Linked DNA regions of Oryza sativa Japonica Group. The protein of the gene in region 2 binds, or shares a complex with, the protein of the main gene of each other region. Links are inferred from orthologs where the notes say so. Each region holds a gene or a part of one and is shown on either strand. Other genes may lie near its edges.

What was found. The genes of interacting proteins can lie anywhere in the genome.
Region 1: cleavage and polyadenylation specificity factor subunit 2 (region 2) and cleavage and polyadenylation specificity factor subunit 3-I share a complex: the UniProt entries of both Arabidopsis thaliana proteins name them as parts of the CPSF complex. The link is inferred for Oryza sativa Japonica Group from reciprocal best matches to the Arabidopsis thaliana genes CPSF100 and CPSF73-I.
Region 3: cleavage and polyadenylation specificity factor subunit 2 (region 2) and cleavage and polyadenylation specificity factor subunit 3-II share a complex: the UniProt entries of both Arabidopsis thaliana proteins name them as parts of the CPSF complex. The link is inferred for Oryza sativa Japonica Group from reciprocal best matches to the Arabidopsis thaliana genes CPSF100 and CPSF73-II.

What each region holds. Positions count from the first base shown.
Region 1 is NC_089037.1:36,886,549-36,892,699, forward strand, and holds cleavage and polyadenylation specificity factor subunit 3-I, read right to left. Parts: upstream 3,923-6,151; 5' UTR 3,909-3,922; coding exon 3,738-3,908; intron 3,619-3,737; coding exon 3,521-3,618; intron 3,416-3,520; coding exon 3,370-3,415; intron 3,268-3,369; coding exon 3,118-3,267; intron 2,839-3,117; coding exon 1,201-2,838; 3' UTR 937-1,200; downstream 1-936. Other genes in the region: non-specific phospholipase C4, read left to right, coding at 1-628. UniProt on the Arabidopsis thaliana protein: Component of the cleavage and polyadenylation specificity factor (CPSF) complex that play a key role in pre-mRNA 3'-end formation, recognizing the AAUAAA signal sequence and interacting with poly(A) polymerase and other factors to bring about cleavage and poly(A) addition.
Region 2 is NC_089043.1:27,168,914-27,174,813, forward strand, and holds the start of cleavage and polyadenylation specificity factor subunit 2, read right to left. Parts: upstream 3,810-5,900; 5' UTR 3,735-3,809; coding exon 3,586-3,734; intron 2,621-3,585; coding exon 2,452-2,620; intron 2,369-2,451; coding exon 2,272-2,368; intron 2,203-2,271; coding exon 2,076-2,202; intron 1,995-2,075; coding exon 1,879-1,994; intron 1,500-1,878; coding exon 1,405-1,499; intron 1,321-1,404; coding exon 1,169-1,320; intron 802-1,168; coding exon 744-801; intron 682-743; coding exon 574-681; intron 202-573; coding exon 1-201. Other genes in the region: uncharacterized LOC9271620, read left to right, coding at 4,159-4,240, 4,934-5,046, 5,163-5,243. UniProt on the Arabidopsis thaliana protein: CPSF plays a key role in pre-mRNA 3'-end formation, recognizing the AAUAAA signal sequence and interacting with poly(A)polymerase and other factors to bring about cleavage and poly(A) addition. Required for antisense-RNA-mediated gene silencing.
Region 3 is NC_089043.1:18,258,652-18,264,701, forward strand, and holds the start of cleavage and polyadenylation specificity factor subunit 3-II, read left to right. Parts: upstream 1-2,128; 5' UTR 2,129-2,258; coding exon 2,259-2,283; intron 2,284-2,365; coding exon 2,366-2,552; intron 2,553-2,656; coding exon 2,657-2,729; intron 2,730-3,165; coding exon 3,166-3,283; intron 3,284-3,400; coding exon 3,401-3,474; intron 3,475-3,595; coding exon 3,596-3,732; intron 3,733-4,263; coding exon 4,264-4,327; intron 4,328-4,694; coding exon 4,695-4,760; intron 4,761-5,062; coding exon 5,063-5,132; intron 5,133-5,207; coding exon 5,208-5,312; intron 5,313-5,841; coding exon 5,842-5,983; intron 5,984-6,050. Other genes in the region: uncharacterized protein, read right to left, coding at 1-417. UniProt on the Arabidopsis thaliana protein: Component of the cleavage and polyadenylation specificity factor (CPSF) complex that play a key role in pre-mRNA 3'-end formation, recognizing the AAUAAA signal sequence and interacting with poly(A) polymerase and other factors to bring about cleavage and poly(A) addition.

The DNA of each region.
Region 1 (6,151 bases), on a different chromosome or scaffold from region 2:
CAGCGCCGCGCCATTCTTCTTCGAGTTCAACCGCCTCGGCGTCCGCGTCCCGGCGCTCTTCATCTCGCCGTGGATCGAGCCGGGCACGGTGGTGCACCGGCCGTCGGGGCCGTACCCGACGTCGGAGTTCGAGCACTCCTCCATCCCGGCCACCGTGAAGAAGCTCTTCAACCTCAAGAGCTTCCTGACCAACCGCGACGCCTGGGCGGGCACCTTCGACGTCGTCCTCACGCGCGACGCGCCGCGCACCGACTGCCCCGCCACCCTGCCGGAGCCGGTGAAGATGAGGCCGGCGACGGAGGCGGCGGAGCAGGCGGCGCTGACGGAGTTCCAGGAGGAGCTGGTGCAGCTGGGGGCGGTGCTCAACGGCGACCACGCCGACGAGGACGTGTACCCGCGCAAGCTGGTGGAGGGGATGACGGTGGCGGAGGCGGCCAGCTACTGCAACGCCGCCTTCAAGGCATGGATGGACGAGTGCGACCGCTGCAGGAAGTGCGGCGAGGACGGGTCCCACATCCCCACGGTGGTGAAGCCGCCGCCGCCGCCGTCGACGTCGTCCTCAGGCTCTAGCTCCTTTGCTTCCAAGTTGCTGTCTTGCTTTGCGTGTGGTCGTCCTAACAAGAATTAGTCAGTGAAGATGGCTGATTAATTGCTTATTCATTTCGCTTGTTGATTACTGTATAGATTATTAATTTGGTTGTGCAGGGAGGAGTACAGTACTAAGGCCGGATTTTACAGAGTGATTATGGGTGGTGTGTAGATTATTGATGTGATGATTGTATTACGAATGTTGGTTTACTGATCCTGCTGATCTGACCAGAAAAGAACTCTGGAAGTTCAGCTCAATCAGATTCGTCATTGAGACCCAAAAGTTTCCATTAAGATTGCATAGTACATCACCAACTGGACAAATGAATAGCAGGCAAACAGAATATCTGGAAAAGAACAGAGAAGCTAAGAACAATTTCACAGGAAATGAGTAACAGTTAGAAATGGCTACAAAATCAAAATGTTACAGCTGGAGTTTATTTCAACGGCACTAAGATGGCCCAGAGCAGTGATCTACAACACATCATGCTGTATTAGACAGGCATTTGAAGCAGGATGAAAATGCCTGCTCATCATGTGCAGACAGGTAATGCTACTAAGTTCATCTAGGAAACATTGGACACGTTTAAGCGTAACTTTAACGCCTTCAGCTCAAGAAGATATAAGCGGGATTGGTCTCACAGCACCCTGTATACGACGGAATGCAGTCTTGATCCTTTCTCTCAGTGTAGCATTTTCACATTCAACACCACCACTCCTCCCATCCAAGTGTGCTACTTGTCCATCCACAGATATAACAAGTTTCCCTTCCTCTGCAACTTTGACATCACCAAAAAGTGACACCATAAGAGCATAAACTACCTTCTGGGCCACCCTTTCCGTCTCTTCCTGTGTCTTCACTGCTTCTTCAACTGGGACAACTTTGGGACCTTCACGGCCTATGTTCAAGACCATGGCGACCACAGAATCAGACACCATATCACTGATAGGATCAGACGACCACTGCAATGTAACATAGCTTTCTGATTCCAGGCGAATGGTCACTCTCTCATGCACAATCAATGTTGGAACATCAGACTCCTCTGTTGATGACTCCACGCTCTCATATATTTGCTTCAGTCTGTACTTTATGACTTCAAAAGAACCAGAATATGGGACGGCAATCCTTTGGGTAATGTTAGCTGTAGATAGCTGCGTGTACACACGGAGATCCTCAGGAGCCATAATTTGATATGTGAATCCCTTCTTTACAAGCAAGCCATTAACTGATTCTCCAGCTTCCGGTACCTTTTCAGCCAACCTGCCAATTGTCTTGGCCATTTTCTCAGAACTGAAATACATCTCCACTGATTGGCAATTCTTGGGGTTAACAACTTTTATATTTGTCCCATCAAACTGAGAAATAAGCTTCTGCTTAAGTCTTGACATCTCATTTGCTTCCCCGTGTACAAGAACAATGTTGGGTGGCTGGAGCTCATCCAAGAAGGTGCTTGTCTGAGGGAAATCAGCATGAGCAGAAAAGGAAATATAGTGGACCTGCATATGAAGAGGAGCAGTGAGCCCATTCGCCAGTGTCACTTCTCTTGGCTCGTTAATAATGGTCTTTGCAAGGGTGCCTTCCACAACATAACCTGGAATAACACATGAATTCTTCTTATCTGTGCACCATTTGTCAAAGAGCTGCCTGGAGAGGCCACTCTGGAGACCACCTGGGCTTGCCATAACCACTGATGGACCCACATCATGAAAGTTATCTATGCTATTCAAAGACTCAATATGCTTGAAATGGAAGGGATTAGATTGTGCAAACTGGTTCCTAATCCTTTCATTCATGGAGTTGATGTATGTCTGGTAGACAGCCATGCATTTCTTGGCAAGAGGGGAGGCATAATAGATTGGAATCTTATGGAGCTCTGGGTGGTTGGCCCAATACTCATCCAGGATAAGTAGCAGCTCTTGAGCTCTTCCAAGAGCAAAGGCTGGGATAAGAACGCGACCACCCTGCGAGACGGTCGTGTGTATTACATCAGTGAAGCGCTTCTCTCGTACATGGCGGGGTTGGTGCTGCTGCACGCCATAAGTTGACTCGATAATGCAAATATCAGGGGAGAACTGGGGAAGTTCAGCAGCTTTCAGGTGGCGATCTTCCTCACGGGAGTAGTCACCAGTGTAAAGAACGCGAACCCCAGCAATGTCCACCATGAACATTGCAGCGCCAAGTACATGGCCAGCAGTATAGCACCAGAAGCGTATGCCATTAACTTCCAATGTCTGGTGGAAGTCTATGACCTGCAAGGCATTTTTATGTTAACAAAAGTATTCATTCACTCCATGAAATACATACAAGCTTTCGATCATCACAAGAAGAATCAACAATATGCTATATGGAAGGAAATGGTCAATGTTTACAAAGCAACAATCAGATGTTACAGGTTTCTCAGTTGATTATCAACCATCTAGAGGATTTCTGTCCATTCAAATTTGTTCTAACATATGCATTTGAAAGGGGTCGACAAAGTGCTGTACTGCTATATAGGCAATTTAAATCCATTCAGGGAGATAAAATACCTCAATTTTATCCATGGAACGAAGAATGTCTTGCTCGTCAAACAGCATATCCTCCACAGAAACTTTGCTGACTTTGACATAATCGGAAAGGAGCAGCCTGTAGATGGCCTTTGTGGCATGGGTCATGAACACGCGCCCCTTGAATGTCGTCTGCAAATAAAACCAGAGCAACTTGAGGATGCTGAATGGTATCAGGGCAATAGCTGAGCACTTACTGTCGAAGCAAAAAAACGGAAGATGGTGGAACATTACCTTCTCCAAGAAGTAGGGAAGAGAGGCAGCATGGTCCAAGTGAAAGCTGCAAATTTTAAGGGCGAAGTTAAGCAAGAGACGCACAGATTTGACAGAAGGGGCAAAGAAAATAAAAGAAAAAGGGTGAAAAGAGAGTGGGGGGAATAAGTACTGGGTGATTAGGAGGACATCAATGGTGGAGGGATCGATCTCATCGAAGTAGGGGAGCGCCGCCATGCCGGAGTAAGCCGGGTGGATGCCGCAATCGAACTATCCAAGAATCCAAACCACACCACACCACATGACAAACAAAAGCAGAAATTATCATAAAAAAGAAAGCAGTGGAAGCTAGGGTTTGGAGGGAAAGAGTGGGGGGATTGGATGCTCACGAGGACGGTGCGGCCCTTGAATGACATGTAGACGCAGGAGCGGCCGACCTCGTTGCCGGCGCCCAGCGGAGTGATGATGAGCTGGTCTCCCTCCCGCCCGCCGGAGGCCTGCCGCTTCCCCGGCGGCCCCCCGGCGGTCGGTGCGGCGGCGGCGGCGACGGACGACGCCATTTTCCCCTTCACTTGCTGACGAGCGGAGAAGGAAAGACCTTTTAGGGCTTTGGACACGGCGGACTCGAAGCAGGCTGAATTAAGTTGGGCCCGGAAGGGCTTGCAGTCCAAGCAGCCCTGGAGCTGGACAGTAAGTTCACTTTAGCTCCCTTAACCAATCTAATTTGTATCTTGAACCGCAATTACCGGGATTTCTAGCCCTCGGCCCTTCGCCGCCAACACTGCTCCAGATCCTGCACCGAAGTGGAGAGGAAGAGAAACATAGAGAGAGAAGGGAGAAAGAGGGAAGAGCAAGAAGGATAGAGGGGAGATGGCACGGGGGCCTCATATTTTTTATTGTGTGAATGACGAATGGGGCTCACACACATATTTTTTTTTAATTCTAATGCCATCTAAACTCCATGTCAACACTCACGTCCGTGAAACCGTCCTCCAAAACTGCTGAGGGAGTCAAATTGCATCGGTTTTAATAGTTGAGGGATCAAGATATCCCATATTGGAGTTGAAGGAAACGAATTATATTGGTTGAGATATCATGGAGCTGGAGCATAACTTTAGCACAACTCAGCTCCAGCTTCACGTCTTCTAGAGCTAGAGCCTAGCCTAACAATTTCAGTTCCAACTTAAATGGATCAGAGTTGGATGGGGAACTCTCACAAAATGAACTAGAGATGTAGAGCTGGGTTTAGACTGCTCCACAACTAAATTCTAGACCTAACGTCTGGAGCTAAATTTAGGAGTTGGAGCTCTACCAAATAGACCCAGAGAAATTCGATAGCAGGCATGGAGCTAGCCCATCGAGCTAGACTAATGGGGAGAAGAAGTTGAGTCGTGCAGGCTTGACGTACGCAACCGTCCTTGCATTGATCTATAGGTGTCTTAGGTGGTGTTTGGATCCAAGGGCTAAAATTTTAGTCTCTATCACATCGGATGTTTTTGACACTAATAAGAAGTATTAAACTTAGACTAATAATAAAACTAATTGTATAAATGAGAGCTAATTCGCGAGATAAATTTTTAAGCCTAATTAATCCATAATTACCACATGTTTACCGTAGCATCACATAGACTAATCATGGATTAATTAGGCTCAATAGATTTATCTCGCGAATTAGTCCAGGTATGGTATGAGTTTTGTCATTAATTTACATTTAATACTTCTAATGAGTGTCTAAATATCCGATGTGATAGGGACTAAAATTTTAGTCCCTGATCCAAACAACCCGTTAGATTCGAGGGCTAGTTTATTCAGTTTGAGGAATTTTAATCCATAGAAATAGGAAAGTGAAAAAAAAATAAATGCACGTATCAATTCATATGAATTTTTTCAAAAGATTTGAGTGAACGGAAGTCTTCCTATGTTTTTTCTCTACAACTTAAAGGAAAAGAAAAAATTCGTTTGGTTTTCCTATAACTTATTTATACAAACCGAATGGGAACTGTAGAAATTATTTTTGGGAATCCATTTTGTTTCCTTCAAACCGATTAAACCAATGCACAAAAATGCTAATTGTCAGGGTTATGGATACCACATACCTAATAGTAGTTGACTTAATCTCGACAGGACCCACCATATACCATGTCTTATACGGAAACAACCTTCGGATATAGGAGGAGTTCCGTATAAGGAAGGATGAATAGAGTTCTACATGAAAATGGCAATGACTACTCGGAGTATCCATATTGGTTTTCCTAGTTCTACTTGGACAAGGGGACACTTATGGGTATAAATACAAGGCCCCCTAAGAGGAGAGGGGACACGGAACAATAGATCAAGACATAAGATCAACATACAAGCCAACATACGCCAAGACAAGACGCTGGATATCGACTTAAGAGATAAGCATGGCTAGTCCCCTATGGTGTCTACAGATGCTGTTAGGAGAGACATAGCGCTGTCTTTGATCTCACCGGATGCGGATTCGATGAGGAAGGCTACCCTGTTGTCGACTACGAGTCAGAACTTTAGACCACCATATTGACAACAGTTAGATAGGCTACCCCAAATATTGTACTGGTGTGACTATGGTAAATAAGAGCAACGACCGGCTTCGGCCAACATGAGTAGGGTTATTACCTGACAATTCAGGGGCCCGGACATATATACAAATCCTTGCCTCCGTCTCTTTTACCTAAATCTCGCGTATATCCTAGTACCAACGATCCCCATACTATGCAAATACCGGAATCGCGACATCAAACGTCGACACTAATATAATGTTCCTATGTAGTCACGTGCCTTT
Region 2 (5,900 bases):
CTTTGCGTTTGATCCAAGAGACGCCTTCTTTTCCTCCTCTTTGTTTAGACTGGCCTTTAGCGCTTCCTCCTTTTTTATCCGTTCTTGTTCTTCTTCGTAAGCTTTCAGCTCATCACCAACTAAAGGAATTCGCTTGCTCATAGTGACCTTTACAGCTTTTGGAGGTGGATCTACTTGGAGCATGCGAGCTAGTGTCCCAAACTGGAATGGGATACTTTGTAATTAGATAGCTGTAGAACATAGATATATGATGCTAGAATTCTTTTGCTGAGTGAGAACAACACAAATGTTTGATCAGTTTTTGCAAATACAGAAATCTATGGAACATGAAGGCAGAGAGGATATGGTTAACGTGACGTAAGTTTGGATTCATCATCAAGATTCATGTTGTTTACACAAATTTTAAAAGTTTCATGTAGGTTGTAGCAATCAATTTGCTAAGGCCCCTTCAAGGTGTTGGACTACTTGTCACTTACAGGTTTGAAGCTATAATGGTTTGTATGTAGCTAGTTATTGAATGTATGTGCTGAGAAAGAAATAAACCATCCAGATATATTGAGTACATGGATTTACCTGTCCCTTCTCAGTAAAAAGTACTAGATTCTTTGCTTCATTTGCCATATCAACAAATATGTCATGAGAAAAGCCAACCTCCAAGCTTGCCATGGATGCTAGAACCACCTGCTAAATGTTTGTTAAATTCACGTTTCCGACAGTATGGAGGAAATAAATGTTACTCTAACCTTTGGTGCATCTCCCAGCTTTTCAAGCTCATCTTTGTTTATTATCTGTGTAACACATCTGCAACACAGAAAAAACAAAAGTTGTAGAAACTAAACAAAACAATCATACAAATATCGTTCTTAAGAAAGTTATATATGAAGTTTATAAACAAATAATAGTATAGCGCTGATTCAGGAAAAGAGGCAGTTGAATTGGCTCTGATAATACAGTATTGTAATAACAGGACAGCCCAATGAGATAAAATATAAATATGACTCCATAAGGAGAAAGTAATAGAGGAAACATGTCTATTGGGCTGTTGAAATGTAAAATAATAAGCTCATCATGAATCTTCAGGCTTGCAATGCATAGCAATTGTCAATATGCACAGAATAAAACAAAACGATGAACTGAAAAAAAGGAAAGTAACAAGAATCATTCGTACTTTAATAGGAAGGCATTGTCTCTAGTGTGTTCAAAAGACTTTGAGATTGAATCATTCATCCATTCAAGAAAACTCTTGACATAATCAACAGTACTCGTAGAAACATTTGTCAGAAAGTAGATAGGGTAGATCAAATGCCGTTGAGCCCAGTACTGCAATAAATCAAGACAAAAGGTGAACATATTATTGACATAACAAAATAAAACAGTACGAGAACAAGACCTTCAAGATTTCACCTGCTCCAATATCAAAAGAATTTCAAGAACTCTACCAGCTGTATCAATCGGCAGTAACACACTACCACCACCAGTTAGAACTTTCACTAATGCATCTGCATGAAACAGGATGTCAATTAGACATCACAAGAGGATTCCCATACAGTAACTAAAACAAACCATATACACGATAACATATATTTGGAGTCTAAAATATTAATAGTTTATTATTGAACTCAACAATGTGTAGCACTAAAAAATAATTGAGAAATAAAAAAAGTTGTGTCCAAGTTGCAAATTTGGAAAATAGAAGATATATTCATCAGTGCTACTTTGATGGAGAAAACATAAGTAAAAAACAGCTTCCAACAAAATTATCATGAGCTGTTACCTGCAACCATGGCTGTGTGGGTATAGTAGTAATGCTAGAGCTGAAAGCATTTGAAAAAGAGATAGAGATAGAGAGCTATGATAATAACATGTCCAGTGTTGTACCAATGAAATCTTGATCCTGCTGCCTTTTGTAGACATGGTTGTTCAAGGCATTGTATGCATCAGTTATCAGAACAGCTGGCCGTACAAATGATCCAAGAGCAGTACCATTCAAATGCCTGGAAAAGCACATTGCTGTTATTATTTGCTAATAAAGAGAAAACTAAAATGACAAGTAAATGACAAAGGAAGGATTTAACCTCTCTTTACGATGGTTGAAGTCAACAGCATAAACAACATCCTCCCCATCTTTTGTTATCTTCCATACCGTGCCACCCAAATCATGCCCAGCAACATGTGGAGCAATAACTATTCCTTCACCTTTATCTGCCAATCAATAGTATGTAAGGGGATGTAATTTAGCAAAGGATATACATCAACAGCATGCTTACTGACCATTCAAAAGGTGGTTCTGTGAGTACTTCAATCTAACAACATTTTGGAATGCAGCATCAATATCGTCCAAAGTAAACAAGTCAAAATCTGAAACTTGCTGCAAAGGAAAATAAAGAATGGTTAGATCCACTATATGCAATGAAACAAACAAGAGGTTAAAATGGACACTAGAAAGCTTACCCGTCGTGATATAAAGTAATCATACAAGGTTAAAATGCCAAGTCTAAATACAGGTTCTGTGGCATATACTGGTGCAGATAGTCCGAGATGTTTCATAGCATATGGCAAAGCTCCTAGATGCATGGTATCGGCATGAGACAAAAGAACTGCATCTATTGTTGGTGCAACCCTGAAAAAAAAATACTGATCAAATTCATAATCCATAAAAATACTGAAACATGTTCAAGTGTTCCCTTCAATCTTTACAGATGTGTAATTTGAATAATTGAACAACAAAGATCATGGGAGCTTAAAATGGAACTTTTGCATGATTTTGAGGCTACTAGTACCAAGCTGGTGAGATAATTGCTACTAAATCTATGCCATGATTACTCAACAATCAAGGAAGACGAACAAGAATAAGTTTATTCAGCATAGAAAAATAAATATAAATATGAGTCAGAGTTCAACCTGAAAGCAGGCTATCTATTACAGGGAGGCAAAAAATTGCCTTGATCATGCCACTCTATAATTGCCTTAAGATAGATATTCACCATTTAAGCAAATGAAAGCAATTACTGAAGGTTCCATGTAAAAACCACATGAAATGTTGAGGGGCAACGCCCAGTAAGACAAGCTTGAGAAGCAATATTAAGCACGGTTTAGAAACTCGAGCTACATCTTTGGCACATACTAATTAACAATTAAGGTCATACATAAACAACACATCAGTAAGTAGTCCATATGGTATGTATGCAGGATCATGGGCACAATGTAGAAGTGCATATGCGTTCGTGCACACGGACCCACCAACACAAGTGCATAACATGCACCAAGCCTGACTATGCACAAGCACACCCGAACACCTGTCGGACTCAGCAATTCAGTTGAGGCAAATCAATCTCCTAAACCGACGATCTCATTCGTTACATAGCAACACAGATAACCCTAAGATGACAAAATCACAGCAGAGCCGGAGAACCCTTCACTGTCTCCAAGTGTAGGCAATTGAACGAGCAGGTGGCGCGCATGGCAACCCCATCCCCATCCCATCCGAACTCATCGCAGCATGCGGCAAAGGAGAAAGACTAGCACCAAAGCAGCTGACCCCGACTAGCCAAGAGGAGAGTTAGGGCGAAAATGGTGGAAGCGTACTTGGCGAGGGGTTGGAGGTGGGAGGGGTCGCAGAGGTCGGTCCAGCCGCAGTCGAGGAGGAAGCGGAAGCCATCGACGGCGAGCAGGTAGCAGAGGGGTCCCTCACCGTACGCGCCACTCAACGGAGTCACCTGCACCGACGTCCCCATCCGATCGATCCCCTTCGCCGGCGGCGGCGGCGGCGGCGGCGGCGAGCAAGAAGTGGAATGAGAGAGAAAGAGTCCAAGTGTAGTAGTTGGGCCGCTCGAGAGGCTTATGCAGAAAAACTGTACATGGGCCGGGCTGAGGCCCATATACTTCCTCTTTTGTGTTGGTTTCCTTCACTTTCCTACTCGAGGCCGACGGAGCGTTGCGTCCGCCGCCGCCATTGTCACTCTCGTCTCCATCTGCGTCTCCGTCTTCGTCTCCGGCCAGCGAGCCCCTTTTCGCCGGCGACCTAGAAGCGAGAAATCCCAACAAATACACATCCAGAGAACCGGCTCGGCTCTGTCGCCTTCCCCTTTCCTGGGTGTTGGCTTGTTTGGTTGGATCTAAGCAAAGGCCTAACCGCGGCGATCTTCCGCCTCCCATCCCATGGACGGCGCGAGCGGCAGCGGGGAGCCGACGGCCAACGGGGAGAAGAAGCCCGACGAGCAACACTTCGATCCCAGCCGAAGTAAGGGTCTCTCTCTTTCTCACGCACCTTTAATTTTTGTTACCTTTTGTGTTCGTGCTCTAGATTTGGTTACTCCTATTCGGTACTAGAGTATAACAAATCACGACTCATACTGATTTGCTTTAGAGGGTTCAGGTTTTGTAAACTAGTATTGCTAACTAACAATTCGCCACGAATCAAATTGGAAATCTCACAGTCACACGAAATAAACATCTGCTGCACAACTAGGAATGCACAAAGATCCTATCAAATGCCATGGCCATGGCCTCAATTTTCGTAGCCCTTGGTCCATAATTCAGTTCACTTATAAAGCTTTCTGAGAGATGTGCATAGGATGGTAATTCTTGAACCAACATCTCAGTTTATTCGGGATGGAGTAAGTCTAGTATGTTGCAAAAAATTTGACTCTATATAAATGATTGGAGCAGGTATCCTATCCTACCAGATACTGAATAGAAGTACAATTGTTATGCATGTACTAGCTACCTTGCTAGTATATTGTCATGAGTGAGTTATGAAATGTCAAAGCTTTATCTCTCCATGATTTTCACATGGTACACTGGCCTCATTATAGTATTAGAGATATATTGAGTTCTGTTGATGCATTGCTTGCAAAATCTAAAAAACATTTTTCATTTGTAAAATAGTTGCCAGCATTCTTGTGCTTGTATATAATGCCATGGTGTTTTGAAGTGATAGGAATAATCAAAAGGAAGGCCTTGATTAAAGAACTGGCTGCTGCTTACCATGCTGAGTGTGTGGCATGCTGTAAAGAGCTTTTGCAGCTCCAGAAAAAGTGGGAGGAGGTCTGTATCTGTCCTTCTCCAAAATGGCAGATAATCCCGTGATTTACATTCCTCGCATTATTTTCAAACGGAACATATGTAACACGAATCCTGCTCTTCCTTGGTCGGTTGTGCAGGAGCAGTATGTTGAATTTAAGATGTCTGATGAAGCGCCAAGGACGTTGACAGTGAAGTCTTCCAAGCGCAGGAAAAGGTAGCTTTAGAAGGCATGAATTTGACAGGAGCTTTAGATGTTGGAAGTTAACAGAAAGAAGCCCTGTGTAGTTTGAGATTTTTTTTGGTAGATAATCAGCTTATTCTGGACTCTCAATTGTTTTTGGAGTGTGTGTGAAAAACATTGTAGCTAGCTGCTTGCTGGAGGTATCAACTTGGCCGCTATAAATTGGGCATCTATCCTCCTTACGTGCTTGTGGAGCACATTATTTCTATTCGAACCGGATTGTTCCATAAATCCATTGGAAGTTTCAAATTGGCTCTCTGTTCATAGGATCTTATCCATCATCCATACATAACGAATTGGTATGGTATAATGATATTATCAGCTGTGAGAAGTAGTTGCCCTCGGATGTTTTACTAACTAGGAGATTATTGTTTGTTTGATACTAATATTTTTCAATTGAACTATAAGAAGGTTATTTATTCATATTCTTGAACTGTTACTAATATTGTTAACCTGTGGATTTGTGATGCAAAGAGAAAGAGAAGAGAATATTACAAAATAAGTCATTCCTAGAGTTGAAAATTTCTCCCAAAAACACGGATGGTTTCTTCTCACCCTTGAGAACACAGCGAAGAGCAAAGATGGCGGTTTTTGTTGTCCTGTGCACCGGCCGAAGAGAGATTGGAGAGAGAGA
Region 3 (6,050 bases), about 8.9 Mb from region 2:
CTTGGGCTTGGAGAAGTCGGAGATGTCGCTCCTGGAGAACCACTTCTCCCAGTTCCTCCCGTCGGCGTGCCTGTACTCGACGTGCGCCAGGGTGCCCGGGTCGACGCAGGCGGCGGTGACGGCGACGCCGTCGGGGTTGGACCGCGGGGTGTAGAAGGAGGTGATGCCGCAGACCCTGCAGAACGTGTGCTTCGCCGTGTGGGTGCCGAAGGTGTAGGTGGTGAGGGACTCGCCGGCGCCGGCGGCGAGGGTGAACTTGGAGGCCGGGACGACGAAGTGGGCGTTCCCGCGCATGGCGCAGTCGGAGCAGTTGCAGATCCACACCACCACGCTCGCCGGCGCCTCCGCCCGCCACCGCACCCGCCCGCAGTGGCAGCCGCCGCTGTGCACCACGTCCGCCGCCGCCGCCGCGCTCATCGTCGCCGTCGTCGCCTCGTGGAAAGAGGAAAAGAAAAAAGGGAAAATTCGGAGAAGAAAGAAGCGGGTGGGATTTTCTCGATGAACAACTGGTCCACGTGGGCGCGTTGACTAGAGTGAGACCAAGGCAAGCAGTGGCTGGGCTTTTTTGTGGGCCAAGATTGATATGGGCTTAATATATGGACTCGAGTTGACTGGCCCATGGGCTCACACTGATATGGGCTTACTGAGCACTGGGCCTACGGCCCACAAAAGCCCATGAGGCAGCCCAACCAGCTCGCGACCTCGTCGGCGGCGGAGAGAGCAAGCGGCCTTCGTGCGGGTGGCGGTGGCGGCGGCGCGGCGAGGAAGGCGGCGGAGAGGCAACTGAGGCGTGGTTGAGGGATTCTGGCGTGGAGCAGCGCCGGGGGAGAGGGTAGAAGCGGCGGCGGCGCCATGGACATCGAGTGCCTTGTGCTAGGTACCCTTCGTCGTCCTCCACTCCTCTCTCTCCCTCTCCGCTTCTCGCACGGATTTGATTGATTGATGGGAATGATGCGTGGATTGATGGCGATGGCGATGGCGCAGGGGCGGGGTAGGAGGTAGGGAAGAGCTGTGTGGTGGTCACCTTCGGCGGTGAGAAGCGCGTCATGTTCGACTGCGGCATGCACATGGGCCACCACGACAACCGCCGCTACCCGGACTTCGACCGCAGTGGCACCCGCCGCTGTGCACCACGTCCTCCGCCGCCGCGCTCATCGTCGCCGTCGTCGCCTCGTGGAAAGAGCAAAAAAAAATTGGGAAAATTCGGAGGAGGAAGAAGAGGGTGGGATTTTCTCGATGAACAATTGGTCCACGTGGGCGAGTTGACTAGGCTCCATTCGTTTCCACTTAAAAAAAGTGGATTAAGTTTTGGATATTCGTGGCACGCTTTTTAAACCGTTAAACGATGTGTTTTGTGCAAGAATTTTCTATATGAAAGTTGTTCTAAAATATCAGATTAATCCATTTTTCAAGTTTGCAATAATTAAAACTCAATTAATCTTACGTTATTATCATCTCGTTTTACGTGAAACACTTAATTTTCACATTCATCTTTATATTCATCATTGAATCCCCTGAAGATAAAAATGAATATTAAGTTTTTTTTTATGTAAAATGATGTGGTATTAACGTATATTCGATTGAGCTTTAATTATTACAAATTTGAAAAATAAATTAATATGATATTTTAGAGCAACTTTTATATATAAAGTTTTTTCGCACGAAACGAGCCGTTTATCAGTTTGAAAGCGTGCCACGAAAATCTTAGGGCCTGTTCACTTTATGCCAAAAAAAACCTTACTAAATTTTAGTAATACCAAAATTTTGGCAACAACTTGCTAAAATTTTAGTAGGATTTCTTATATAATTACTAAAATTTGACAACAAACTAAATGTAGCCACTTTTTTAGTAACTTTACTAAAATTTGGTAAGGTTAAAAATGGCTTCAAAGTGAACATGCCGTTAATCTTCATCCAACTCTTGTCGGAGAAAAGAACGGGACTAGAGTGAGACCAAAGTAAGCAGCGGCTGGGCTTTTTGGTGGGCCAAGATTGATATGGGCTTAATATGCAGATAAAGCGTTTGACTGGGCTCTGACAAGCAGGGCCCATGGGCTCACACTGATATGGGCTTACTGAGAACTGGGCCGAGGCCCACAAAAGCCCAACTCTTCTAGCCGGCAAGCCCAACCAGCCGCACGCCCTCCTCGGCGGCGCGGCGAGGAAGGCGGCGGAGAGGCAACGGAGGCGTGGTTGAGGGATTCCGGCGTGGAGCGGCGCCGGGAGAGGGGAGAAGCGGCGGCGGCGGCGGCGGCGGCATGGCCATCGAGTGCCTCGTGCTAGGTACCCTTCGTCCTCCTCGAGTTCCTCTTCTCGCACGGGTTGATTGATGGGAACCACGCGTGGATTGATGGCGATGGCGCAGGGGCGGGGCAGGAGGTGGGGAAGAGCTGCGTGGTGGTCACCTTCGGCGGCGGGAAGCGCGTCATGTTCGACTGCGGCATGCACATGGGCCACCGCGACAGCCGCCGCTACCCGGACTTCGACCGCCTCCTCGCCGACGGCGCCGCCGACTACACCGCCGCCATCTCCTGCGTCGTCATCACCCACTTGTGCGTCTGCCAAAAATCGAATTGAATTGAATCGAATTTGATCTGTAGCAGCATATCCAGTTTGCTTGCACGGTTAATAGCTTTGTGAAGTTTGTGCGTTGCAGCCATTTGGATCATATCGGAGCACTGCCGTACTTCACCGAGGTCTGCGGTTACCACGGTCCAGTTTACATGACGGTGAGTTGTAACCACTAACCAGTTCATGTTTATTTGTTCAGTATTATGATTGCGCAGCTTTGGTGTATCCGTTCCAGGTAGAATGGGGTTTCATTAAAAAAAAAGGGGCTATAGTGAGGTTGAATTTCAAATTAACTTGTCATAGGTTGGATTTTTATTCATCTTAGCTATCAAATACTAATATCCATTGAGCTTGTGAGTTGTGGCTGTCACTGCAGTACTTAATAGTGGTCATGGTCCTGCGTAAATATGTTTGATGGTCTAGGGGTTCAGTGAACTTGTTGATCTTATTGAGATGATCTTGTCAAAGTATATAATACGCAAAAGGAGATGTGCTGTGAACTGATATTGTCCATCGGTAGCATGTGAAAGCTTGATTTCTCTTGCTGAGTGATTGATCTTCATCTCATAACTTAAATCGTTGTACCTCAAGCAGTACCCGACAAAGGCTTTAGCTCCATTGATGCTGGAAGACTATCGGAAAGTAATGGTAGATCATAGAGGAGAGGAAGAGCAATATAGCTATGAAGACATCCTACGCTGTATGAGGAAAGGTAAATGTTCTGTGTTCACTTTTCACATATCTTTTACTAGTCTACTTAGATATTGTGCTGGCACACAGGTATGCATGTACGATAGTTCTCATTTGGTTATTTCATTGGACATTTCAGTTATACCATTGGACCTGAAGCAGACCATTCAAGTAGATAAGGACCTTTCGATCCGTGCCTATTATGCTGGACATGTATGTGCTGTATACTTTTCTGTCCCATATTAACTGCAGTGTTATTTTTTAAATTCTTGGAAAATTAATATTAATGTTGTTCTGTACTTTCTTAATTAGTCATCATTCTTCCACATGCAAGGTTCTAGGGGCTGCAATGATATATGCAAAAGTTGGAGATGCTGCTATTGTGTACACTGGAGATTACAATATGACACCAGATAGGCACCTTGGAGCAGCGCAAATTGATCGTCTGAAGTTAGATCTGTTGATAACAGAGTATGCTACAAATTCAAATTATAGTTATGCTCTTGTGCATCATGTTTTCCTTTTGAAATGTTGACCCAGTGATGTAGTTGTAGACTTGTAGTGAATCATTGCCACTCAGGATTAGGTTCTTTGGTATGTTTTAGCAGTAATTTTGCTGTCTTGTTTCTTATAGCTCTTTTATCTTTTGTGTGCGCTTGCGCGCGTGCTTGTGTGTCCATTAACTATCTTTATGATATCAGGTTTTCCACACAGCTACGTACCAGTAAACCAGTATCCGGTTTCTGTTGTTAACCTCTGCTTTGACCTGTATGTAGTTGGAAATCTCCTTTGTAGTTAATGATTAGGTAGGTGTATTTTGCTAAATTTTTCTTGTGATGTTTCGTTTTAATATAATCCATATTTGGTTTTTATGGAATTATGGTCTACCTTGTTCTGTACTGTTGTCTTAATGTTTTACCAATACGGAATTTGAGGTGCAGTTCTTTGGTGTATCTGTTTTATGTTCAATGTGTAAGTATTAAACTGAAGTTTTATCTGCAGATCAACATATGCTAAAACTGTGCGTGACTCGAAGCATGCCCGAGAGAGGGAGTTCTTAAAAGCAGTATGAAACCTGAACCTTCACACTACCAATTTTATTGGGGCTTTTTTTATTTGGTTTCTTTTGTAACACTTATGCAATCCCCTTGGTGATGCAAGATATGTGTTACATTTATCGATGCTGATGGTTGGGCTTGTAGCATTGTGCAAACTTAAGTAGTTTTGTACATTTCTATGGCATGAATACCTCCAGGGAGTTCATGCTCACAAAATACTAAGTACAACTTGTTATTAGCCAAGAGTTTATCCCTTTTTCAAGTTCTGATACTTGAATCATGTTGATTGTGTTGACACATTGAATCTTTATAATCTTTACTTGCAAATTTCTACTTAGTAAATTCATCACTTTAATGAGAGCGTATTTTATCTAGGTCCATAAGTGTGTTTCTGGAGGTGGTAAAGTTCTAATTCCAGCATTTGCTCTTGGAAGAGCACAGGTACTCACCACTCCTCTCTTAATTATATGTGATGATGCATTTAATTTAATGGTTAAGAGTAGGATCCTTTTGGAAAAATGTCCTTTGGAGTATGCTGTTTGAAACTTCCATAATCAGAAGTGATACACTGCTGTAATGTGGAAAACAAATTAAGATTGCCTTGAAACTCCGAAAGGGGCAAAATATAGATGTAGCTATGAACAGAGTGGCATTTTATTGAACGCAATCTCCATAGTGATATTTTATCAAAGCCTACTTTGTGGAGTGGCATATTACCAATTTTCTCCTCTAATGTGTGTCAGGAGCTATGCATACTACTGGATGACTATTGGGAAAGGATGAACCTGAAGATTCCTATTTATTTCTCAGCTGGTATGTGTCTTTGTCCAACTTTAACTTGCTTTCATGTATTTGTCCACTTTATTTATTGTTGTATTTGTTTGATAGGTTTAACCATTCAAGCCAACATGTACTACAAAATGCTTATTGGATGGACTAGCCAAAAGATCAAGAACAGCTACACAGTTCATAACCCATTTGACTTCAAGCATGGTATGTCCTTGAATAAACATTTCATTTGAATCATATGTCGAATTTCGTAGAGTGTATCTGTTTAGGGAAAACTTATAAACCTGCAGTATGTTTTCCTTTTATTTGTATATAAGAAACTATGTGGCATGCATTCATGATGCACCTTCTTTAATGAGTGTTGATAATACTGATATTGAAGATATATGCCATTGGCTCCTACATTGTACTCCCTCCGTCCCAGAATATAAGAAGTTTTAAAGTTGGACATGGTTATTAAAAAAGTAGGTAAAAGTGAATGGTAGAGGGTTGTGATTGGATGAGTAGTAGAGGTAGGTGGGAAATGTGAATGGTGGAGGGTTGTGATTGGTTGGGAAGAGATTGTTGATGGAGAAGTTGTTATATTTTGGGACAAATCCTGATGGCTAAAAATTGTTATATTTTGGGACGGAGGGAGTATCTCTTAAATTAGAGTTCTAATGCACATCATTTATGTTTCTGACTTTCTGTTATGTACAGACAGTACTGAATATTTTTTTTCCTCACGTTGCAGTTTGCCACTTTGAGCGTTCTTTCATTAACAATCCTGGTCCATGTGTGCTTTTTGCAACACCTGGTATGATTAGTGGTGGATTTTCCCTTGAAGTGTTTAAGAAATGGGCTCCATCAGAAAAAAATCTGGTTACACTTCCTGGGTATTCCTCTTAACTCTTGTAATTTATTCTTTCTTCTATATTTTATAATGTTGTAAGACATTATATG